Linked DNA regions of Mytilus edulis. The protein of the gene in region 1 purifies or fractionates together with the protein of each later gene. This does not show direct contact. Links are inferred from orthologs where the notes say so. Each region holds a gene or a part of one and is shown in the gene's direction. Other genes may lie near its edges.

What was found.
Region 2: the proteins of structural maintenance of chromosomes protein 3-like (region 1) and wings apart-like protein homolog purify together in Homo sapiens (affinity purification with mass spectrometry; 7 studies listed by BioGRID and IntAct, with this or other methods). This does not show direct contact. The link is inferred for Mytilus edulis from reciprocal best matches to the Homo sapiens genes SMC3 and WAPL.
Region 3: the proteins of structural maintenance of chromosomes protein 3-like (region 1) and meiotic recombination protein REC8 homolog purify together in Homo sapiens (affinity purification with mass spectrometry; 3 studies listed by BioGRID and IntAct, with this or other methods). This does not show direct contact. The link is inferred for Mytilus edulis from reciprocal best matches to the Homo sapiens genes SMC3 and REC8.

What each region holds. Positions count from the first base shown.
Region 1 is NC_092347.1:1,272,989-1,282,026, reverse strand, and holds the start of structural maintenance of chromosomes protein 3-like, read left to right. Parts: upstream 1-5,725; 5' UTR 5,726-5,837; coding exon 5,838-5,852; intron 5,853-9,038. UniProt on the Homo sapiens protein: Central component of cohesin, a complex required for chromosome cohesion during the cell cycle. The cohesin complex may form a large proteinaceous ring within which sister chromatids can be trapped.
Region 2 is NC_092352.1:23,025,844-23,034,503, reverse strand, and holds the start of wings apart-like protein homolog, read left to right. Parts: upstream 1-5,091; 5' UTR 5,092-5,231; intron 5,232-7,645; 5' UTR 7,646-7,652; coding exon 7,653-8,660. UniProt on the Homo sapiens protein: Regulator of sister chromatid cohesion in mitosis which negatively regulates cohesin association with chromatin. Involved in both sister chromatid cohesion during interphase and sister-chromatid resolution during early stages of mitosis.
Region 3 is NC_092347.1:68,467,044-68,475,532, forward strand, and holds the start of meiotic recombination protein REC8 homolog, read left to right. Parts: upstream 1-4,869; 5' UTR 4,870-4,925; exon of another isoform or gene 4,926-4,980; intron 4,981-6,626; 5' UTR 6,627-6,647; coding exon 6,648-6,703; intron 6,704-7,492; coding exon 7,493-7,561; intron 7,562-8,489. Other genes in the region: RNA/RNP complex-1-interacting phosphatase-like, read right to left, coding at 113-188, 4,635-4,651. UniProt on the Homo sapiens protein: Required during meiosis for separation of sister chromatids and homologous chromosomes.

The sequences.
Region 1 (9,038 bases):
ACGTAACTAGTAAAGAACAGCAATCTATCAAGCATTTGGGAGGTTGAACAAAACTAGTAAAGAACAGCAATCTATCAAGCATTCGGGAGGTTGAACAAAACTAGTAAAGAACAGCAATCTATCATGCATTCGGGATGTTGAACAAAACTAGTTAAGAACAGCAATCTATCAAGCATTCGGGAGGTTGAATGTAACTAGCAAAGAACAGCAATCTATCAAGCATTCGGGAGGTTGAACAAAACTAGTAAAGAACAGCAATCTATCAAGCATTTGGGAGGTTGAACAAAACTAGTAAAGAACAGCAATCTATCAAGCATTCGGGAGGTTGAACGAAACTAGTAAAGAACAGCAATCTATCAAGCATTCGGGAGGTTGAACAAAACTAGTAAAGAACAGCAATCTATCAACCATTCGGGAGGTTGAACAAAACTAGTAAAGAACAGCAATCTATCAAGCATTCGGGAGGTTGAATGTAACTAGCAAAGAACAGCAATCTATCAAGCATTCGGGAGGTTGAACGTAACTAGTAAAGAACATCAATCTATCTAGCATTCGGGAGGTTGAACACAGCATTCGGTAGGTTGAACGAAATTAGTAGAGAACAGCAATCTATCAAGCATTCGGGAGGTTGAACGAAACTAGTAGAGAACAGCAATCTATCAAGCATTCGGGAGGTTGAACAAAACTAGTAAAGAACAGCAATCTATCAAGCATTCGGGAGGTTGAACAAAACTAGTAAGGAGCAGCAATCTATCAAGCATTCGGGAGGTTGAACGTAACTAGTAAAGAATAGCAATCTATCAAGCGTTCGGGAGGTTGAACAAAACTAGTAAAGAACAGCAATTTATCAAGCATTCGGGAGGTTGAACGTAACTAGTAAAGAACAGCAATCTATCAAGCATTCGGGAGGTTGAACGTAACCAGTAAAGAACAGCAATCTATCATGCATTCGGGAGGTTGAACAAAACTAGTAAAGAACAGCAATCTATCAAGCATTCGGGAGGTTGAACGTAACTAGTAAAGAACAGCAATCTATCAAGCATTCGGGAGGTTGAACAAAACTAGGAAAGAACAGCAATCTATCAAGCATTCGGGAGGTTGAACAAAACTAGTAAAGAACAGCAAGCTATCAAGCATTCGGTAGGTTGAACAAAACTAGTAAAGAACAGCAATCTATCAAGCATTCGGGAGGTTGAACGAAACTAGTAAAGAACAGCAAGCTATCAAGCATTCGGGAGGTTGAACAAAACTAGTAAAGAACAGCAATCTATCAAGCATTCGGGAGGTTGAACAAAACTAGTAAAGAACAGCAATCTATCAAGCATTCGAGAGGTTGAACAAAACTAGTAAAGAACAGCAATCTATCAAGCATTCGGGAGGTTGAACGAAACTTGTAAAGAACATCAATCTATCAAGCATTCGGGAGGTTGAACGAAACTAGTAAAGAACAGCAATCTATCAAGCATTCGGGAGGTTAAACAAAACTAGTAAAGAACAGCAATCTATCAAGCATTCGGGAGGTTGAACAAAACTAGTAAAGAACAGCAATCTATCAAGCATTCGGTAAGTTGAACAAAACTAGTAAAGAACAGCAATCTATCAAGCATTCGGGAGGTTGAACAAAACTAGTAAAGAACAGCAATCTATCAAGCATTCGAGAGGTTGAACAAAACTAGTAAAGAACAGCAATCTATCAAGCATTCGGGAGGTTGAACGAAACTAGTAAAGAACAGCAATCTATCAAGCATTCGGGAGGTTGAACGTAACTAGTAAAGAACAGCAATCTATAAAGTATTCGGGAGGTTGAACGTAACTAGTAAAGAACAGCAATCTATCAAGCATTCGGGAGGTTGAACAAAACTAGTAAAGAACAGCAATCTATCAAGCATTCGGGAGGTTGAACGAAACTAGTAAAGAACAGCAATCTATCAAGCATTCGGGAGGTTGAACAAAACTAGTAAAGAACAGCAATCTATCAAGCATTCGGGAGGTTGAACAAAACTAGTAAAGAACAGCAATCTATCAAGCATTCGGGAGGTTGAACGAAACTAGTAAAGAACAGCAATCTATCAAGCATTCGGGAGGTTGAATGTAACTAGTAAAGATCAGCAATCTATCAAGCATTCGGGAGGTTGAACAAAACTAGTAAAGAACAGCAATCTATCAAGCATTCGGGAGGTTGAACAAAACTAGTTAAGAACAGCAATCTATCAAGCATTCGGTAGGTTGAACGAAACTAGTAAAGAACAGCAATCTATCAAGCATTCGGGAGGTTGAACGTAACTAGTAAAGAACAGCAATCTATAAAGTATTCGGGAGGTTGAACGTAACTAGTAAAGAACAGCAACCTATCAAGCATTCGGGAGGTTGAACAAAACTAGTAAAGAACAGCAATCTATCATGCATTCGGGAGGTTGAACAAAACTAGTTAAGAACAGCAATCTATCATGCATTCGGGAGGTTGAACAAAACTAGTTAAGAACAGCAATCTATCAAGCATTCGGGAGGTTGAACAAAACTAGTAAAGAACAGCAGAGATAACATATTACCGTTGTGATTACTGTTCTAAAGGTCGTTATTATAGTAGTACATGTCTGTCCATTTGACCTTTTATTGACCTTTTTTTTCTTTTTTTTCCCTGCTATTCTTTAGCTAACCTACTCCAATGAAAGTTTTCGCCACTGTATTATATTCCAATCATAACATATTATATAAAAAGAAAGATAGCATGAAATGAAATTGAATTACATATACTCGGTTCTAAAGACCGTTCAAATACATAGCACCCAGTGAATTTCTATATGTCGTAATACTGCAAGTTTATTGTAAAATGTTTCCAGGGCAGAAAATAAGCATTGAATCGAAAATGGTTAAATTTGATCAAAGTTGTAATATGTTTTGTGACTTAATGAAAAATATAACCTTGTAATTTTCCAAGTAATAGTTATAATCTAGAAACACGTATCAGTTTTAAATGTTAAGATTGCCTACTTTCTTATTCACATTTTCTTAATGAATACAAAAAAAGTGACCGGTTGTTAAAAAAAGGACGTTGTTGAGTGTTGTTCTCTGAAAAATTATCGGACATTGTAAAATGCTGAATTTTAAGGGAAATTCACGTACAATATGCGTACTTGTGCGTATTTTGTGTCTAAGATATGAATGGTATGCAGGTCGCATTTTTCGTTTAAAATAATTAACACAGTATTGCTCATGCCAATAAAACTGTAAAACTGATGACACGCAGTAATTAAAATGCCCACAGTCACATATGAATATAATCTAAGGACGCTTAATGCACAGCGGGAACTATTACATGGATATTCAGGCTGGGAAAAGTTTATTTGATATTCTTTATGTACGGTATGAATGTATTTATCTATCACAAAACTATCACGCTGAGTTGAATATTAATGACAATCGCTTAACATTATCTTGGCTCCAAGCTACTTATATTTGATCTAACTCTCAAAGGTAGCGTGTATAGCGGATTAGCAGTGTAAATAGATACTAATATTTAAAAAAATATTTGATTCAAATTTAATCAATTTCACAACCTCCCAAATTTTGGGCGAGCACAACGTTCATTGTGTCACCACTGATTCGGTATTTCACCTACCGTACTATTAGTTTTAAATTAGGAGTTAAGCTGGGGTCACACATTCACGATTTTTACTGGCGTCCTTGACAGGACCATTCCCGATTAAAATTTATTAAAAGTCTGATCAAGATCCTATGAATCGTGGATGGAAATTCAAACTTTAATTAAAATTTGTAAAAAAAATAGTTTAATCACGACAACAATCAGATATTGTTCAGGAAGCGTCGATATTCAACCGTTTCCAAGCGAATTTATCCCGATAATCCCGTTCTAAATCCGCTTCTAGTCCGATTTGTCTCTTTCACCAGGTAAAATTCTACCGAGTCTGTCACGACTGCGTCCCCATTCTACCGAATGTAATCCGACAGAGATCAGATAGTGACTAGACAATGAACCAACGCTGACGGAAGCTATCCGTTCGAAAACTGTCGGCATACTCGGGATGATCAGGTACTGTCGGAACGTAATCCTATCACGGTCCGCTCTATCGCATTGCAAACGGCTTTGTCTGGTCTCAGTCGTATTGTATTCTGTAATTGTCAGGACTCTCACGTGGGTATCATTGACGAATTTAGAATTAATAACGGGACTGTTTCGGTATCAATCGGCTCATTGTAACAACATAAGTGGAACATTATATTATAATATAAGAGGCACATAGTTACAATTTAGTTTCAATTTATTAAAGCGGTACATCATTGTTATAAACTATCAAAGCGGAACATTGTGACAATATAAGTGTCATTTTGTTACAATATAAGCTGTACATTTTTACAATATAAGCGGTACATTGAACAATATAAGCGGCATTTGTGTAAGCGGCATATTGTTATAATATAAGCGGTACATTTTACAATATAAGCGGTACATTGAACAATGAATATAAGCGGCATTTGTGTAAGCGGCATATTGTTATAATATAAGCGGTTCATTGGTTACAATATAAACATCACTCAGCTGAATAAAATTTCGAATAAAAAGAAATTCCTAAGACTGACAAGAGCCCCAAGATTGACAAGAACCCCTTCGATCGACAAGTGTCTAGCTTAGATCGGTAAGAACCCCCTACGATCGACAGAAACCCTTTAGATCATCGGTAGGAGCCCCTTAGATCGACAGGATCCCTTAAGATCGACAGCAGCTCATAAGATCGACAAGAGCTCTTAGATCGCAGCAGCCCTTAAGATCGCTATGGACACAGTCCCTGAGCATGATCGACTGGAGCCATATCTACATAATGTAACCGGGTAGACACAGTCGTTATTGTTACATTCGAAATCAATAGGTTTTTACCCAAACCTGCATTCTGGCAAATAGTCTCCAATGTAACAATATTTATTTTTATTATTGTTTCATTTCACTGAATGTAACCGTAGACAGTGCCATTTGTAAAAATAAACCGCATTATAGGTCAAATTACGGTCTTCAGCACGGACCTTTAGCTCAAACCGAACAGCAAGCTATAAAATCTTCCCCCTCAAATGACTAGTTTAAAACTATTACATATGTTAAAGAAAATATAAAAATTAAAAATATCATTGTATCATAATTTTGATAAAACATTGCACAATATAACAACTTGAAGTTGATCCCATAGTTTCAAAAATCTCACAGGCTCGACAAAAAATACAAACAGCATATCGAATCTGAGCAGATAGTGAATTGCTTTAAATATAAGAAAAGTACGTAGAATTTATAGTAGATTCAGACTTTTACAAAAGATTCAAATAAATATATTAACTGATCTATTTGAGTAAATTTAGTCCCTTTTTATTTAAAATTACAATCCATTGAAAAAAGAAGCACAAGGCTGATGTGCTTTTGACCAGTTTTTCTTATTCTATGTCGATTATTTGTTTTATTTTCAAAATTCAAGTGTACGCCCGGGCGTTTTGACGTAAACGTAGCTACGCGCATGCAAAGACACACGAAGTTTAGGTCACGAAACGGGGTTTTGTGTACTTAATTTAGACAGTTTTTGTAGATCAAGTGCTTATAACATTTTTAACATTAATAATCATAATGAAATGAAAAAAAAACTTATACCTAATGAAATCCTTTTTGACTATTTAAATAAACCATGAATGAAACCAATGAAAATATAAAAACCGAGTAAATATAGGCAATTTTGTGTTGACGTAAGCGATATAAATTTTGCCGCCATTTGCAATTTGTAAACAAAGCAGACCGCGAAATTTTATGTTAATTTATTAACTATGAATTAATTTACTGTACGATGTATATAAAACAGGTAAAGAATGATGCTATGGAAATGCATTTAATGATACTATTTTTATGCGTCCGAAATGCATTTCCCTTTAAGCTATAAATATTGCAACCGCGTCCCTGACATATTCCCAAAATTTTGTACATTAGCACACATTGAATATATACTGATGTTGGCATTTAATTGACTTGGTATTACTGGTATTAACTGGTAAACGAAATAATGTGAAATAAGTCATTGTGCTGAGGAGCTAATAGGGGTTACAAAACAAGGTAACTGAATTATGGTGCACATTTGTGCCTTGTATGAACTGTAGTCCATATTCGGTCATCTTGTTGGTTCGTCCGGACATTGTTATTGTACTTATCACTCAAGAAAACTCTGCAATGACATCACTACTCTAATACCACTTCTAAATAAAAAACATTTCTAAAAAATATGTTTCACTATTACTCTAAAGTATTGTACAAAAATGCTGAAGAATTACGAATTTGCCAGTATTGTTGATGTTGATGTTTATGGAGATTATGTTACACTGATCCCAAGCCTGCATGTTGTCTGAAAAGTTGTCATTACAGACAATTGAGGTTTGTGTGAAAAATAAAATGGGATGTGGTAAAATGGACACTGTATCTTGAAACTAAAGTAATGCTGTTTGTCTGCCATTACTGGACATCACGGACGTCCTAGTAAGATTTTGACTACACAATACAATATATGTAAACATTAAGAGAATAGAGTTGTTGTATGACGTCAATAGTTGAACTGCAGGGCTCACGCTACCAGGCGACTTGGGCGAAGAAGTCGCCTTCCCGACCGTCACTTGGCTTTCCCCAACCCCCAAAAGCGAAAACAAGTCGCCCTGTTCTTGACGATAGTCGCTTTCAGTCGCTTCCGTCAACAGACATTTTCAATTTTTACCAAGTTGATGAAACATCAATTTTTTACTGCTAATTAAAGAAATTCAGACATAAACGATTCATTATCTTTAGAAAAAGAGGTTGAAGCATTGTCTTCGCAGTGTGTAGCAGGTTATTTGATAAAAATACAACTTTTTATCACTTCGTGCATTTCCGCAACTTGCGCATGTTCCGGTGCTTGTTACTCGAAAGCGTACATCAACCTAAATTTCGGCGGCAAAATAAGTTTGTTACTTCATTTAAACGTGATAAAAGTTGCCTCCAGTAAATGCTTAATCCTTTTATTGCATTAAAACCGTCATGTTCCTTTCCAAATAACTTGTCAAACATCGTTTATTTTTGTAAATTTTCTTGCATTCGTCCGCCATTGACCGATTTCTAAACTATGGATCTGAACCGGACCAGCTATGACCGAAATCTGTACTTTTACAATAATTACTACGGACGCACGGATGGAACAGCTGACAGAAGAATATTGATCCCAAAGAGAAATTACGCATTCCACACGCATTAAGAGACTTTTGGTTACATCTAATTCATTGGTGTATATAATTACCAATATTTTTTATGGATTGTTTCAAACTATTGATTAAAGTTGCTTAACTCTGAGACTATTATACTAATATCAATATATTATGGCCCAGCTTAATAACTTTTATATTTTTTTTTATGAGAAACACTGAATTTCATACACAAGATAATTTTTAATTAAATTGTAATTGATATATTATAATTTCTTTACATTTTTTAAAATAAAATTATTTTTTTTAGTGCTAGATATTTAGTTGGTAGGTTCTCACAAGAACCTTAGTAAAACTTAAACAACTTTTTATTTCAAATGTTACTTTAATTGTAATTTTTTACTCATATGAATTGAACAACATATAAAGAACATTATTTACATAGGCCCTTTATACTATTGTAAAATCCAAACATTGTAGCGCACCGCGCGAATGAGCACTTCTCTTTCAAATCTCACCACTTCTCCCTATCAGTTTCAAAAAGAGAAGTCACTTCTCCCTATAATTCTTAAGTAGTGTGAGCCCTGTAACTGATGCAAATTCTCGCGTGAAGAAGGGATTTCTCCACTAATTAAATTACAGGGATGAGATTCCTTTATTGTAAGACAATTTTCATGGATTTGTATTGAAAAATGAGGTATAGAGTTGGTAATAGTACATGGTAAAAATAGATACAAGTCAAATCTGCACATGTACATGTACATATGTAAACTTTTAAGTCATTAGATAGTTTGGTTATTTAATTCCTCACAAACAGTCAGGGGTACAAATTTACTTCATGTGAATCAGAAATGAAAATGTAATACAAATATATAGCTTATTGCACGTTTTACTTTAACTTTTTCTTGTTATGAAAATAAAGAGATTATGAATTATTGTGAATGATTATAAAAAAGAAGATGTGGTATGATTGCCTATGAGACAACTCTCCACAAGAGACCAAAATGACGCAGAAATTAACAACTATAGGTCACTGTACACAGGGAAAAGTGCCACGCATGTTTTACACATGTTTTACATATGTAAAACATGTGTTTGGTAACGCACGGGAAACGTCTTTTTCCTACCACGCATGTAAAACGCATGTTTTAAACATGCGTTATTCATGTGTTTTACGCATGAAAAATACATGTTATGTTAAACGCATGTTTTAAACGTGCGTTATTCATGCGTTTTACGCATGAAAAGTACATGTTATGTAAAACGCATGTTTAAGACATGCGTTATTCGTGCGTTTTACACATGAAAAATATATGTGATGTAAAACGCATGTTTCAAAACCATGTGTTAAACATGTGTTGTAAGAAACATGTGTATAATATGCGTTTTAAATGATGCGTATAGCATGTGTGTAACAAACATGCGAATAATGCATATTTCAAACAAATTATAAGATATTATTCCAAATCATCCATAAAACCTTTGTCAAGTTTACTAGTTCACATTCCATATGTTCCACACAACCAAGACGACTTATGTTTACTTTTGAAGGCTGTTCCCTGGACATATAATTGCTTTAATCAGTTTAATTTGGACTCTGTTGGATAGTTGTCCAATTGGCAATCATACAACATCTCTTCATGTTATTTTGACCACAAATCTCCTTTTGACATGTTTGACAAGCAACATCAGAATCATATATTGCAGACCAGACTTCACTTTTCATCAGTCTTTAAAATTTTCCTGTTTGAATACACCAATAAACAAAAGAAATATCTGTAACATAATTTTCATGTTTCTAAAACCTTGATCAGGTACATTTGACACTA
Region 2 (8,660 bases), on another chromosome or scaffold:
GGTCCTGTTATATGGCCAAGGTCTGCAATAATGGTCGAGGAAGTCTGTAATGGCCCGAAGCAACGCCGAGGGCCATTACAGACATCCGAGGCAATTATTACTGACCAAGGACATAAAACAGGGCCATTATAAAAACACCCATTTCTTAATACATTTTTTAACCAACTGAAAAAGTGTATGTGGTGCTGCCAACTTGGTGTACTCTCTTACTCTTTTAATGACAGTTTAGTTTGAAAAAAAAAATTGTACTTCACCATGATCAAGCTTTAAATATCCCAAATATCCAAGATATTAAGTTGAAAGAAACCAATTTATGTGTTGAAAAACGGGATGAACAGTGATCCCTTTATATGGTTCTTTAATGTTTGTTGCTGGTTACTAAATTAAATAAATTACAAACAGGTATTATACTCTTTACAGCTTAATTTTATTAACTTTATTAAAAACCCTAACTGGGCTTAATATAGACAAGCTGGGCATTAATACAGGGCCATTACAGAAAAACAGGGCCATAGCAGAAATAACAGGACCATTGCAGAAAAACAGGGCCATTACAGAAAAACAGGGCCATTACAGAAAAAACAGGGCCATTACAGAAAAACAGGGCCATTACAGAAAATACGTTATTTTCAATAACCAGTCATTTTTGGCAATAATGCACTTAGTTGGTTAATAAAATATAATATTGCACTCTAAATATGCTATGGCAACATTGCACTCACAATATGCTATGACAATATTGCACTTTTGATATGCCACGGCAATATGATATTCTTAAATGCCACAACAATATAACGCTTTTAATTATTATGGCACGACAATATTACACACTTCTTATGCTATAATAATGTCACACTCAATATGTTACGAAAATCGAACTCAATATGCCAAGATAATATTGTACTCTTTCCATTGTAGGTAATGGATCAGCTATATAGCTAAAGATTGAACTTGAATAAACCAAGCATTCAAAGACTCAAAAAGATGATTTTTATAGGATTATTTGGTTAACACCGCATGTCATATATATATATCTCTGTTGTAGGGTTGTCACTGACTCAATTTAGCTGATCTGTAACAATAACATCTTCATGCCTTATATATCATGTACTGCAGTACGCCGCTAGATTAAAACTGACGTGGAAAGGTAACACACGGCCAGCGAAAGCTCTTTTTTGAGAGCCCAGGTGGTCGTGTGGTCTAGCGGGACGGCTGCAGTGCAGGCGATTTGGTGTCACGATATCACAGTAGCATGGGTTCGAATCCCGTCGAGGGAAGAACCAAAAATTTGCGAAAGCAAATTTACAGATCTAACATTGTTGGGTTGATGTTTAGACGAGTTGTATATATATATATATATATATTCATAGGGGAAACAAATTGAAAATATTCCAATAGAAAGGTTCTGCAGAGGTGGTGCAAATTTAACTGTAACATGACAAGAATACAACGAAAGACATGAGCAGCTAGTTTGCAATTGTACATGTAGCAGTTCAGGTTTGAAACTTCAAGAAATCGTGTCACTCTCCCTACACAAGGCAGTGGAATTAAAGCCCAAAATTCCAATTGGAAATAGCTGCTTATTTATATATGCAGCGCATCTAAACGGACGTACCCTGCTAAGCATTTGCAATTCCAGGGTAAACGTACTTCTATTCTTACTCCATTCAACTCTTGGTATCATTTTATGAAGGATATAAATTAACTATTAGATTTTAACTGCCTCATATACCGGAATATATTCAAAAACGTGCCGATGAGAAAAGGAGTTCGGTTTGTTCCCATATCAATACCGATTGTCTATTGAATTACACTTTCATCATAAAAACACATATGGGGTCAATAAAACAAATCAAGCTAGCCTCATTTCAGCTCAGTTCTAATCTTTCGTTTAATTCGAAGTAAAGTTTAACCGTTCCTACAATTAGTCAAGCTATGAGCAATTTAATTCAAAAGATCTAATTAAATTGAATTGCAACTGGATGGTAAGCTAGCAACACTCATTACAACAAATACAATAAATTGAATCGCCTTGGTATTCTCATGACTGTGTGCTCATCTAGAGTTCCGCCGGAGGTCATGATTTCAATTCAGGGACGGGTAAAACATAGACTTGAACATTTGTATGTGTTGATTCTCAGTTAGGCATGTGGCATTTACGGCTAAGAGTTAGGCATGTGACATTTATGAGTAAGAGCAACGATTTGTAGGCTTGGATGCAGAATAATGTGTCTGGGTAGCATGTTTTCCTTAAGATTGTTACCTTGTCCGTCTAGTACAGAGAATGGTTAAAAATAATATCACACTAACATGTTCTCGTCCTGTATATTCAATTAATATGACACTGGACATTTAACAGCATCGTCGTCTATAATTGATGAAAACATTTTTGTTTTGTATCGAGCACATATTCTAAAACTTAATAAGAGAACATGAAGGTTTTCCGCAATTTATTCTCTCTTTCCATAATGTATAAGCAGTTGCTTTCTGGTTGGAAATTGACATGCTGCTCAATGTAAGATATATGGATATATCAATAAATATATATGACCATATAATTATAATGAAAATACATGTATAAAATTTGCAGTGATGTGAGTTTTATTTGCTCCGTGTTGAGGGCCTCACTGTGACTTTGAGATGAAGAACGGCAATAAAAGCGCTGTTCCTTTGCTTTTTGTGTGTTTTGTTGTTGTTGTTGTTGTTGTTGTTGTGGTTGTGCATTAACTGATTTTGTGTTATGGATGGATACACAATATCCTTTGTTTTTCCATTATTTAGATCATTATAATACCTCTCTGTCGTGACTGGGCGTGAGGATGGCATATTAGTACGACAGGTACATATAAAATCAAAATGTAGAGATATGTTCTACGTTCAAACTTTGTACTTTGTACGTTTTTGTTTAAAATAGTGTATTATCAGTGATTTTGTGGTGCTTTTCATGGGCCCATTCAATAGAAAATAAACTTATCCAAGTTCTACCTCGCCATCGTGATACAATGAATAGTTAGGGTTTTCTATATATATGATATACCCGGTATGTATGAAATATACAACAGCTGAATGATTAGCTTGAAGTCGTCTATAGCTCTCACGGATGCGGCCAACCTATTTAGTCCTGCTGAGATCCATATTGTGTGGATAGTTTCAAGAGTCCTCTGTCTTTAGCGCAAAAATCTGTTGAGGTCCATAATGTGGGGAGCATTTCACGAGTTCTCGGTCGTTAGAGCAAACATCTACTGAGGTCCATAATGTGGGGAGCATTTCACGAGTCCTCGGTCGTTAGAGGAAACATCTACTGAGGTCAATGTGGGGAGCATTTCACGAGTCCTCGGTCGTTAGAGCAAACATCTACTGAGGTCAATGTGGGGAGCATTTCACGAGTCCTCGGTCGTTAGAGCAAACATCTACTGAGGTCAATGTGGGGAGCATTTCACGAGTCCTCGGTCGTTAGAGCAAACATCTACCGAGGTCAATGTGGGGAGCATTTCACGAGTCCTCGGTCGTTAGAGCAAACATCTACTGAGATCCTTAATGTGGGGAGCATTTCACTCGTTAGGGCAAACATCTACTGAGGTCCATAATGTGGGGAGCATTTCACGAGTCCTCGGTCGTTAGAGCAAACTTCTACTGAGGTCAATGTGGGGAGCATTTCACGAGTCCTCGGTCGTTAGAGCAAACATCTAACGAGGTCAATGTGGGGAGCATTTCACGAGTCCTCGGTCGTTAGACAAAACATCTACTGAGGTCAATAATGTGGGGAGCATTTCACTCGTTAGAGCAAACATCTACTGAGGTCCATAATATGGGGAGCATTTCACTCGTTAGAGCAAACATCTACTGAGGTCCATAATATGGGGAGCATTTCACGAGTCCTCGGTCGTTAGAGCAAACATCTACTGAGGTCAATGTGGGGAGCATTTCACGAGTCCTCGGTCGTTAGAGCAAACATCTACCGAGGTCAATGTGGGGAGCATTTCACGAGTCCTCGGTCGTTAGAGCAAACATCTACTGAGATCCTTAATGTGGGGAGCATTTCACTCGTTAGGGCAAACATCTACTGAGGTCCATAATGTGGGGAGCATTTCACGAGTCCTCGGTCGTTAGAGCATACATCTACTGAGGTCAATGTGGGGAGCATTTCACGAGTCCTCGGTCGTTAGAGCAAACATCTACCGAGGTCAATGTGGGGAGCATTTCACGAGTCCTCGGTCGTTAGACAAAACATCTACTGAGATCCTTAATGTGGGGAGCATTTCACTCGTTAGGGCAAACATCTACTGAGGTCCATAATGTGGGGAGCATTTCACGAGTCCTCGGTCGTTAGAGCAAACATCTACTGAGGTCAATGTGGGGAGCATTTCACGAGTCCTCGGTCGTTAGAGCAAACATCTACTGAGGTCAATGTGGGGAGCATTTCACGAGTCCTCGGTCGTTAGAGCAAACATCTACTGAGGTCCATAATGTGGGGAGCATTTCACGAGTCCTCGGTCGTTAGAGCAAACATCTACTGAGGTCCATAATGTGGGGATCATTTCACGAGTCATCCATGACTTTTATTTTGTCTTATAAAACACATTTCGATCTTCTCTTGTGCCCGCCTGAGGTGTTGCTTATTGGCCATGATTGACATTTAAAAGTAATTTATACATGTAGATAAAATAATTAGCCGCACTTGCCGTAACTTGGTAGATCTTAAAACTAAGTTACACTAAAAGGATAGCAGGAATTATCAAAAATTTAAGCCGAAACAATAGACCAAGCTGTATGTGTTATTACATCATAATGCCAACAAAAACATTTTATGTCAACGAATATTTACAGATAACATATTTTACATGTGACTCTTTCTTTTAAAGGACAAATATCTATAAAAAAAATATTTCCATTCCATGGATAAAATTTAATATATAACCAATTCATGAGTATGTTGTTCTAAATGTTGCTTTAATTATTTACAGTAGTGCTTTTAATCATTATTTAATAATGTGCAGGTGATTGGGGAAAAAATGGGTCAAAGGGAAATAACACTTACTGATTAGTTGAACTATTTTTAAAGTTATTTCCCCTTTGATTTACGAAACAATGCCTGTAAAATCTGTCCTGAAAGACAAGTGCGATGAGAGTGCGCCTGCGTACAACTGTTATTGTTAGAATTTTCAAAATGGCGCTGTACAGGCGATAGCTGCCGATTGTGTTTGTATATCATGCAGATTTGTTTTTAACAGGTGAATTGAAAATGGGAGTTTTTCATTACAATATTATGCATTTACGCAACATTTTACTCAAAGAATTTGGCGCGACACGTTCTCAGATGGACGAATGAACGCAATCTTTCTCTTGTACGAGTTATCTTACCTCCTCAAAATGATCAATCTTTTTTCGCCTTTTCTGATAGATATGCACATTGATTTACGTCTAGCTTAGAGTTATTTTTTTGAGATATTAAACTACTTTCTGTGAAAAACAAATAATTGACGATTATATTGTTCCTCGTAGCTACATCAGGATCAACTAAGATCTTGTTGTATTGCGTATAAATTATAATTTATACTTTTCAAATCGAGATCATGGCAGATGACTTGGCATGTTGTTTGTGCATACTTCATACTTTAAAAAAATCTTTGCTTTTACCTTTACTACAACAACTATTTAGGTATTTTGTCAAGATGAATGTTAGCCTGGCATCCGGCCCAATCTAGCTGCGCCTCGTATACTGACAAGATTAGCCAGGACCCCAGGCTAGATGAATGTGGACTAGTCTACAGCTGTTCATATTCAAGTTTGGATATTATCACCACTTAGCTTTAAACATATTTATTTATAGTGGATTGGGAAACAAATTATATACTGCAAATACCTATTTGTTCGCTATTACTGTACATCTCAAAGGTTCCATTAAAATTTTGATGTAATAAATACAAATTATCTGACGCCCACAATGGAAAAGTGATTGTGGTAGGATGTCAATAGTTTAGAAGGGTCCGATTATCTGGTCAAGCAGGACAGATTTCTAAATAGCAATAAGGTGTATTGGTATTATACCCCTAAAAGAATCTGAGTCTGTTCGCGCCCATTCACGTTCGCACCCTATCACGTCCGCTCCCTTTCACTTTCACACCCTACACGTTCGCGCCAGATTTTTATTGGTTTTGTGTTTAATAACTTTATAATTAAGTTTTGGCAAGTCAGTGTATTCCTATAAGTATATTTGTTGTCATTGTCCTAAATTAAATTAAGACGTGTTTGTTGTGTTGAATAAATCGTAATCTTTTTTTGGTTAAGTGTATTGCTAACTTTTATTTCATTGTTTCAAAATAAATTGAGACTATAACAAGGTATTTGTGTTGAATAAATTTTAAGCATGTTTTGGTTAGTGCATTGCTATGATTTTTTTGTTTCATTGTTTCAGATCAAAGGAGCCAAGCTGTTAAAATCTTTTAGTGTTTTTCATTTAAAATCTTCAATGTTTTTACTCATACCAAGCTAAATACATGCAGTATTTACATCATTAAATTCTATTTTCAATTGTTGGGTATAATTTTCAATAATGACCCATAGACAAGGTGAATATCTAAAACTGTTAACACAAGAAGTTTAAGTATAATAATTTTGAAGGGTTGACAATTTTGACATTCATCGCTTCTAAGGGGCCACAATTGTTTTATTATACCAAACTAACAGTGGAAGGGTATTTTGAATCACTAAGAGCACTTTACTTACTTTAGTCAGTAGACATACAAAGTTTATGTTCAAAAATACATTAGTGTCTTAGAATTCTTGTTTGTACAACCAATGATTTGTATAGTATAAACAAGCCAAAGGACCATTTATGAGAGATATCATCGGCACAAGATGATCTTCCAAATTCTTATTTCTTATTCTCTTGATCGATGGTCTTCCAGTAACGTGAACTTTGCACTTTTGTTTAATTACGTCTGTGACATCTCTTTCATGGGAGATAACTTATGTAATAATCAAGAAACCAAAAAGGTTACTTGCCAGTGATTAATAGGGTTATTCTCAGCTGTTATAAATTTTTAGGCATATTTGTCCTTCCTTGCAATTAAATGAAAATTAGCTGAATTATTCCATGTCACGTGATAACATGTTACCCACTAGAATTCTATGTATAAATTAAATATATGTAAAGTATAATAAATGAATACAATTTTTACCCCAAAATGGGGATAGTACCCATTTATGAGAATTTTCCCCAATCAGATAATTGTTTGTTTCCTGTGTTACTTTTTAATTATGCTAAATTCTTTTCAGTACATGTACGTTATTTTTCAACTTGATAATTTCAAAGAAATGTGTGGACATGAATGTGGCAGCAAATGCTCATGAAGTCTATCCTTATTCTTTGTGAAAAGTCGTATTTCCCATGTTTTGTGTGTGTTCTGTTGAAATGTTTGGTATTTTTATTAACTATATATATACTTGAACTTAGGGATTATAGTGGATAATGAAGAACTGAATCTGTTATGCAAAAAAGTAAACTTCTGTATGAATATTTTACTGAAAAACTAAAAAAAACAATAATTAGTTTCAATCTGAATTTGATTTTTAATGATTAATTTTTCAGACTTGAATGAACTTTGAAATTCAATATTCATGCTTTTATATACTTATATTTTAGATACAACATGGCTACCAAATCTGCTGTTAAAACCTATGGGAAGGCCAACAGAGAAGCTGCTCAGAGTAAAGCATTTGATGATGCTCTTAAACCAAATTCAGCAGCGAACAGGTCAACATCACAGACCAAGTGGGGCAAGACTTCATTCAGTCGTTTAAGAGAAGATGATCCATTTGAAGTCACATGTAAAAAAGTCAAAATAGAGACAGAATCTGCAGATCCTTTCTCTTTTGATTTTGAAGATGGTGAGACAGTGAAAAAAGAAGTTGTTCAGGCCCCTGTTTTACCACCCCCTCCAACTTCAAACTCAGGGAGTGGATTAGGACGTCCTGCTATCCCTAATCTAAAGGTATCACATAAAGGACAAGAGCAAATTGTAGATAATTCTGAGAATATAGAGGAAAGAACAGAAGAGGAGGAAGATGAAATTCCTTTGTCTAATTTTTCTAGACGACCTGTACGTACATATTCACGTAGGAAAAAAGGGGGCGATGATGACCAAGAATCAGGTGATCAGTCTGTGGCAGTTACCAAAGAAGAAAATAAGGTTCAAGGAAGGCCACAGAGAAGGGATGTGTTTTCCGATTCTCCTGAAAGAGAAATAGAGGACCCATTTGCAGACCAAAATAGTAAAAAGAAAACTACACGAACATACACAAGGCGTAAAGAAGGTAATGTTCCCAGAATGATCACTAGTAAAACTCATGTTTTACATTCAGAAGAAGACAGTGAAGAAGGGTTAACTGTTCTAAACTTTAGAAGTCATTACATGGATCCTGCTGTTTATAGTCAGTTCAAGTACACCCCAAATAATGATGACCCTGTAGGAAGACTCAATAACAGTAAAGTTCTACAAAAATCAGAGATCAAACATGGCAAGGGTTCCACAGTCATTGTGGTTTGTTCCCCAAAGGTTCCTCCTGTTCCAGGACTGAAAAGTTATCTGAAAGAAAAGCCTAGAGGCCCAAAAGCCAGTCAGGAAGATCCTGTGTCCAGCTTCAATCAGGTATCAAAC
Region 3 (8,489 bases), about 67 Mb from region 1:
TTTGCTCATGCTCATGCAACTTACTGTGATTACATAGTTATTGCTCATAATGGGCATCATTAGGTTTTAATTTAAAATGATCAGTATTCACATATATATATCAAGGACTTACCTTCTTTAATGGAACTTTGAATGCAACAAACTTGGTACCACTTATCACTTCACCAAGGGAACCATACTTCTCCCACCTAAAACATATATAAAATTAAAGAACCTTAGTGAGAGCGCTCACATACCCCGGCCCACGTCCCTATATCGGCACTGGACAAACAAAATAACTGTAAGAAAAAAAAATTGAATCATAATTATAATTTCTTGTCGATATGCACATCTACAAAGTATGTCCTTATTTTCTACAGTTTCATGAAATTCTGTTGTGTGGTTTCAGAGGAGTTGTGATGACAAGCTGTTGCAGTAGTATATTGGGATTTTTTTTTTATTAAATCATAATTTCCTGTCGATATGCACATCTACATAGTATGTCTTTATTATAGAAAACGGTTTCACGAAATTCTGTTGTGTGGTTTCAGTGGAGTTGAGATGACAAGAACAGGACTGACAGATAGACAGACGAACAAACGGAGGGGTCAAAAACATACCCAGTATATATATAAATATGTGGCATGATTGACAATTAGACAACTATCCATAAACATGATGAAGACAAAAAGGTCAAAGATATGAACAATAGCAGGTCAGCATACAGCCTTTATCAATGAGCAGTTATCTTTGTTAAGGCTGTCAGTCAGAGTGACAGTGACATTTTTCCTCATCATACAAAATAGATTTTAATTTCAATAAACATGTGTACTCAATATCAACTAATATTGATTCACTTATAGGGTCTTTGCATCGGAACTAAACACATTTATTTAAAAAACAGTTGTTGGCATGACACGGGTTATGTTCTTCTCATATATTTTATGATAGTATGATACTAAACCCCTAATGGGAAGGATTGTACCTGATATTCATATGATGAAGACATAATCTTTCAATCAGTTTATTTGAGGTCTGGAGCTGGCATGTCAGTTAACTGCTAGTAGTCTGTTGTTATTTATGTATTATTGTCATTTTATTTAGTTTCTTTTGTTACATTGTACATCTTCTGACTTCTCTTGAACTGAATTTTAATGTGCGTATTGGTATGCGTTTACTTTTCTACATTGACTAGAGGTATAGGGGGAGGGTTGAGATCTCATAAACATGTTTAACCCCGCCGCAATTTTGCGCCTGTCCCAAGTCAGGAGCCTCTGGACTTTGTTAGTCTTGTATGATATTTAAGTTTAGTTTCTTGTGTATAATTCGGAGTTTAGTATGACGTCCATTATCACTGTACTAGTCTACATATCTTCTAAGGGGTCAGCTGAAGGACACCTAAGCTTGTGGCAGTTTCTCGCTATATTGAAGACCCATTGGTGGCCTTCGGCTGTTGTCTGCTCTATGGTCGGGTTGTTGTCGCTTTGACACAATCCCCATTTCCTTTCCCAATTTTAATATTGATAGTTGAAAGGGTCACAAATCTCCCTTTTGAGCAAGAATCCAAGTCACAATGTGTAAAAAATATTAGTTAAGGTAATCCGGTTCATGCTGTTAGTAGCTTTTGAGTCTGCTAAAAATTATGAGTGATAGCTTAATAATATTTGAATTATTGCCACCTGAAAATATATTATAAGGTTTGACAGTTCTGATTTTAGTACATTTAATTTCCATCAAAATTCATCACACTTCAATTTGAACTTCAAGTTGACATTTTGACAATACCGCTGTTCCTGGGAATCTTTAAATACCATTTCAAATCCAAGTCATTCTCTAATAGTGTTGATCAAAATATAATTCAAAAGACCTCATGGGAGTTATTCAACTTTTTTATATAAAGTATACTGTATATATATCATATGTAGGGCAAACTTTTTATGGGTCGAAGAACACGGGGTGAACATGCATGTTATCAAGGCAAATGGACTCGATAAAACTAAAACTAGATATAATTATTTGAATCTCCAGTTTTAAGAACTTTTGATTTAGAATATGTGCTGGCATTACACCTTATAGCTATTTACGAATCTGTGCTGGTTGACCCACTTATCTTGAACACTTGAACTATTGACTTCATACAACAATCAACATTTTCATTGTAGAGTCAGATATTTTGTACAGGACCTTGGTGATTTCCAGTTATGATGAACAAATCGCAATAAGATGTTTAACAAGAGGCTGTCACAACGACAGCAAACCGGATTTATTAACATTTATTTGTGTCCTGGCAATATCACAAGAACCATTACTGATGAATGGTGAAAGTGAAAATCGTCAATATCAAATTTGACCTCCATTTTGTCATCAGTATCAACATATTAAAATTTGAAAAGCTTAGATTGAATGGTTCATGAGTAAATGCAACAACGTGAATGGAAACACCATTTTACGATCTTTCAAGAACCATAACTCCTGAACGGTAAAAGTCAAAATCGTCATTATTGAACTTGACCTCTATTTTGTCATCAGTAACAACATATTAAAATTTCAAAAGCTTTGGTTGAATGGTTCATGAGAAAATGCACGGACACGACGGGAAACACCATTTTTCAATTTTTCAAGAACCATAACTCCTGAACGGTAAAAGTCAAAATCGTCATTATTGAACTTGACCTCCATTTTGTCATCAGTAACAGCATATTAAAATTTCGGAAGCTTTGGTAGAACAGTTCATGCATAAATGCACGGACACAACTGGAAACTCCATTTTTCAATCTTTCAAGAACCATAACTCCTGAACGGTAAAAGTCAAATTCGTCATTATTGAACTTGACCTCCATTCTGTCATTAGTAACAACATATTAAAATTTGGGAAGCTTTGGTAGAACAGTTCATGCGTAAATGCACGGACAACTCCATTTTTCAATCTTTCAAGAACCATAACTCATGAACGGTAAAAGTCAAAATCGCCATTATTGAACTTGACCTTCGTATAGTTGTCAGTAATAACATATTAAAATTTTAAAAGCTTTGGTTGAACGGTTCATGAGTTAATGCACGGACAACATTTGATTCCCGCCCGCCCGCCCGCCCGACCGCCCGCCGTACATCCCCAAATCAATAACCGACTTTTTTGTCACAAAAATCCGGTTAAAAATGTAGACCATGGTGGTAAATACATGTGCTTTGGTAATACATGATTGCCAGCTGATTAGTATTTATCTCCCAACCTAAGATGTAAGTCTCATATTCTAGTATGCATGAACAAAATCACTTGGAACGAATTAAACAAATCTGGGACGAACTGTAAACCATGACAAGGATTCATTTTTAAGTTATATTCATAATCCATTTCTTATAATACATAAATTGACTGACAAGAATTATTAAAATTGTAAAATATATTAATAAAGATAAATACATTGTACCCCAATATTCTACTATGCAAATCAATGTTATTTTGGTTGCAGCAATACAAATACAAGCATTTACGATACAGACTTGTTTTCTTTTACAAAATTATACATGCAATTGTATCAGTCCCTACACATAACCTTTTGATCCAACTAGACAATAAAACCAGCTGACATAGCAAATTCCCAATTCACACTCATTTAGGCAAATACAAACATCTAAAGACAGTTATAAATATTCATTTTATCCACGAACAGTTATAAATTTGAATCATCTGCCAAAACAAATATTATCATGCAGTACGTATACAGTACCGGGATTCAAGAGTATATGATCTCAGAATTTGCTCTCATCCCATATTCTATCCCTAACTATTCTGTTATCAAATGTATATAGTTTTATCTAATTTTATTTTTCAAATGTACATTTGTACTTATGTTATTTTGATTTTTTGATTTTGTTATTTTTGATTTTTCTTGCTACAATAGTACATTGTACAATGTAAATTATAAATTTTATAGTCGACAATTGAAGGATCGCTAGAAACTTAAAGAAGAGGAAGAAATATTTGGCAAATTTACCAACAAACTGTTACATACTCTGTTCAAATAATGAACGTGATTATGCAACTTTACATCAATACAAAAAAAGCCAGGGCGAATGGACCCTGGGCGAACAGGTATAAGAGCAAAGGGACTATGGCGAACAGGTACAATGTACAAGAGAAAAGGGACTGTCCGAACGAACGTGAATCAGTCTGTTTAGTCCTATAACATATGAGGGGGTATAGGACCTTTATCGGGACTCCAGGATCGGGTGTTTTTAAGCTCAGGATTTCAGGATTAACCCTTTCGGGATCAGGGAATTCTTTTTTCGAATTTTGGGATGTCAGGATTTAGGTTTATTTAAATTCAGGACCTCAGGATTTGGTATTTTTAAGCCGGGGATTTTGGGATCAGGACCCCTCCTACCACCCCTCACATATGGCTTTGCAGTCTTATTCATTTTAACGTTTTTATACTGATAATTTCATTTTTACTTTTTCAAATGGCACATTGATAGGTAAAAAAAATAAATCAGAAATAGTTAACAATTCCCCTGAGGTCATATGTTAACTTATAGGACTAGACTGTCTAGAGTCTGTTTAACTTTAGTATAGACTCATAGTCGTAAATTATAGAAACAAGTGCCTGTGCAATTACAGCAAGCAGCAGCGCGATCAGATGTCAAAATGAAATTACCTGTCTGGTGGTGGCATATTTTGTTTAAACTTGTTGTTTTCTGCCCTGTAAAAAAATCGTTATGGTCTACAGAATTAGAAAATTACGTTCTACTATTTTTACTTGCACTTTCGAAACAACCGGAAGTGCATATTAAAAATTCCCGGACCGCTTTCTAAAATTAGAAAAATCACAAAAGTTCTTAATCAACCAAGTGTTTAGTACAGTAGAGCTTTAATGGATCATTTCAAGCACTAATCGAAAAATAACTTGTGTAGGCGGGAAATTTGAAACTTTTGTTTTTTGAAAGAGGTGTGCAAGTTGTCCGAAAATTATAAGCTTATATTTCATATTATTTACTGCAAGTGTAAGGTTATATTTTGCTTGTTGTTGTAATTCAGGGGTTCACCTTCAGTAATTAGTGTACCATGTAATTTAAGACTATTTGAAAAAAAAAGCACAGGCGCTCGTTTCTATCACAGACAAAAATGTTTCCTTTTGATTTATTTCAGTTGAAATAATATAGCATGCAAATTTAAGTTGAGAAAAATAGAGAACACTCAAACTTATACATGAATTGTGAATTTTGTATTATAAAACATTGTTCAAAAGTATTCAGTAATATTATTTCGTCATATTTCTGGAATCCTGGATTCACCCGAAAATATTGTCAATTTTGCATGCCTTCATGATGTAAATTACCAGATAGATGGTGTGCCTGTATCCCTTCTCTATTAAAAATTTCCAGCATTTTCAGAATCGTCAAAAAATAGGGTAGTATAGAAATAATTTATGTTCCAGAAGTATTTTACTTTGTCTAAATAAAGGCAACAGTACTGTAGTATACCGCTGGCGCTGTTCAAACTCATAAATCCATGGACAAAAAACAAAATCGGGGTAACAAACTAAAACTGATGGAAACGCATAAATATAAGAGGAGAACAATGACACAACACTACAATGTAACTAACACACACAGAAACGGACCAAGCATCAGACCCATATTATTGACACTTTTAATACTGATATTTTCATTTTTACTTTTTCAAATAGGGTTAAGGTTAGAGTTAGGGTTAGGGTTAGGGTTAGTATATCATTAGAATATCAGTATAAAAACGCTAAATGTGTTGTATTCTGTACATTAAAAAAGTTACAGCCAGCTGAATCATCTTAGTTTATCTCTTCCTGAGGTATTGTAATTCCATGTAACCACGCAGCAGTAGAGAGCAAGTAATGCACAATAGTAATCAAAAACATAAACATAAACTTAAACTCCTGTACGACTGAGGGAGGATGACCATTTATTAGATTTCAATTTCCCAAATATTTTGTGCAGTATAAAATCACTTTTTACCTGTTTGCTAAACATGTGTTGGGAGTGACGATACAATTGAGAATGGAAATGGGGAATGTCTACATTTTTGTCATGTGATGGAAGTTACATGACAGATTCAACTAAAAACCAGAAACTGCTGTATTCTGTACATACATGTATCTGTGGCTTGTAGATTATCTTATCAGACTGATCAAACTCAAATCTTTCACATAAAACAGAAAATAAAAAAAAATCTGCCCTGAAGAATTATAGATATTAAAAGTGTCAATTATATGGCGATACCCAGGTGATGCTTCAAGGCATCATACGCCATGAATGTGTTTTAAAAGATCTGACCGTTACTTAGAATTGTAGAAATTAAAAGTGTCAATAATAAGGGTTTTCAATAATTCTTGTCAATTAATTTAAATTATAAATAAATAATATATTGACATCATTTAAAAAAAAGTTACAGCCAGCTGAATCATCTTAGTTTATCTCTTCCTGAGGTGTTTTAATTCCATGTAACCACGCAGCAGTAGAGAGCAAGTAATGCACAATAGTAATCAAAAACATAAAACTAAGCTTTTGAATTAGAATCAGATTTCTTGGATAGTGAAAAATGGAAATGATAGTTTAAAAACAAACTGTCTCTATATGAATAATATTTCTTTTACTATTTTATAATGTTGTTTCAGGTACATATATATATTTCAATAATGTTCTATCACCAAAGTATTCTTCAAAGAAGAGGAGGAAAATTTGGAACAGTTTGGTAAGTCCACATTTAACATAAAAACATTGAAATGATTAAATAAGCTGAAGATCATAGTTGTGTTTATAAAACTGGTGTTCAACTTTATCTCTACCCCTCCCTTTTCCATTTTTAATAGATAAGAATTTTATGTATTGTTAGAAATGATTGTTTTACTTGTACATCTATTAATTTTTTAGCATATATATTTAAATTATTATACATGTATTTAAAATATTTACTGTTTAAATGTCTGCAGCAAATACTAGAAATTATAAGGGAGATAGATCATCAATTATAACTTAAGGGAGATACATGTAGATCATCAATTATAAGGGAGATACAATGTAGATCATCAATTATAAGGGAGATAGATCATCAATTATAAGGGAGATAAATCATCAATTATAAGGGAGATAGACTATCAATTATAAGGGAGATAGATCATCAATTATAAGGGAGATAGATCATCAATTATAAGGGAGATAGATCATCAATTATAAGGGAGATAGATCATCAAGAGCATAAAGACCATTAAGGAGAAGAGAGTAATTTATATATGAATATGCTCAGTTGTCAAAGAAAAACTACAAAATATACCTGAAAATTGTCAAGTGATGAAAAGATCCCTTTAGTTGAAAATTATCAATATCAATATTCATGGAGCTGCAGGGAGAATCTTAATGCCCCTTCATGTCCATCTGTACGCCCCAAATTGTTTTCCACTCTCTAACTTTTTTAACTCAAAGTGCATATAAATTGGACGAAATATCAAAATTAGTTGTAAATATAAACAATGAACAATTTCAGGCTTGCTGCTACAAAGATTGATCAGCTGAAAAGAAGAGATTTTAGTGCAGTAGATATTAAAAGAACATGGTAAATATTATACAATACTGTTTTAAGGCAATATTTTTTATTCAGTCTATGTTGATCGTTAGTAATAAGGTCAGTTTATGGGAACCACTTATGATAGTCAACGAAATTTGGATAGTAGTTGTATTAGCATTGGTACATCTATTTTCTTTGGAGAACATTTGGGCCTGCCCCCTTAGTTATGGTCTATTAAATTTGTAACTTTTGTTGAAGTTTTCATGTATAGTTTGTAATTAGGTCAGCTTATGGGGAACCATAAGTAGGTCAATTATATTTGGTATGCAGATGTAATTATTCTTGACACATCCCATTTCCACAGAATCATATGGCCCTATCCCCTCAGTCATGGTCTATTGACTGCATATTTTGAATACTTTATATGTTAAAGTGTGTGATTAGATCAGTTTAAGTTGGACCTACAGGGGCGTAGCTACCCAGAGGCACGACAGCACGTGCATCCATGTCTCACAAAAAAAAAAAAAATTGGTCAATCGGAATCAGACAGTGTGCTGCATGTATTATCTAAGACTATTATGAGTATGATATTTGTTTCACGTTCGGAGACTGTTGGTGTCTTTTCCGTCTAACCCGGATATTAGTTTGACAACCTAGTTACAAGTGTTGATGAAGCTGTTCGAGTCATGCAGAAAAAGATCATAGCTCCCTATACGCTAACACGCAGTTGTGTGCACGTTGATGCAAAAAAGAAATAGCAAAATCAAAATTTATAAATTGAATGTTAAAGGAAACACCTATGTTGTCACTTTTTAGCTCACCTGGCCCGAAGGGCCAAGTGAGCTTTTCTCATCACTTGGCGTCCGTCGTCCGTCGTCGTCGTCCGTCGTCGTTAACTTTTACAAAAATCTTCTCCTCTGAAACTACTGGGCCAAATCAAACCAAACTTGGCCACAATCATCATTGGGGTATCTAG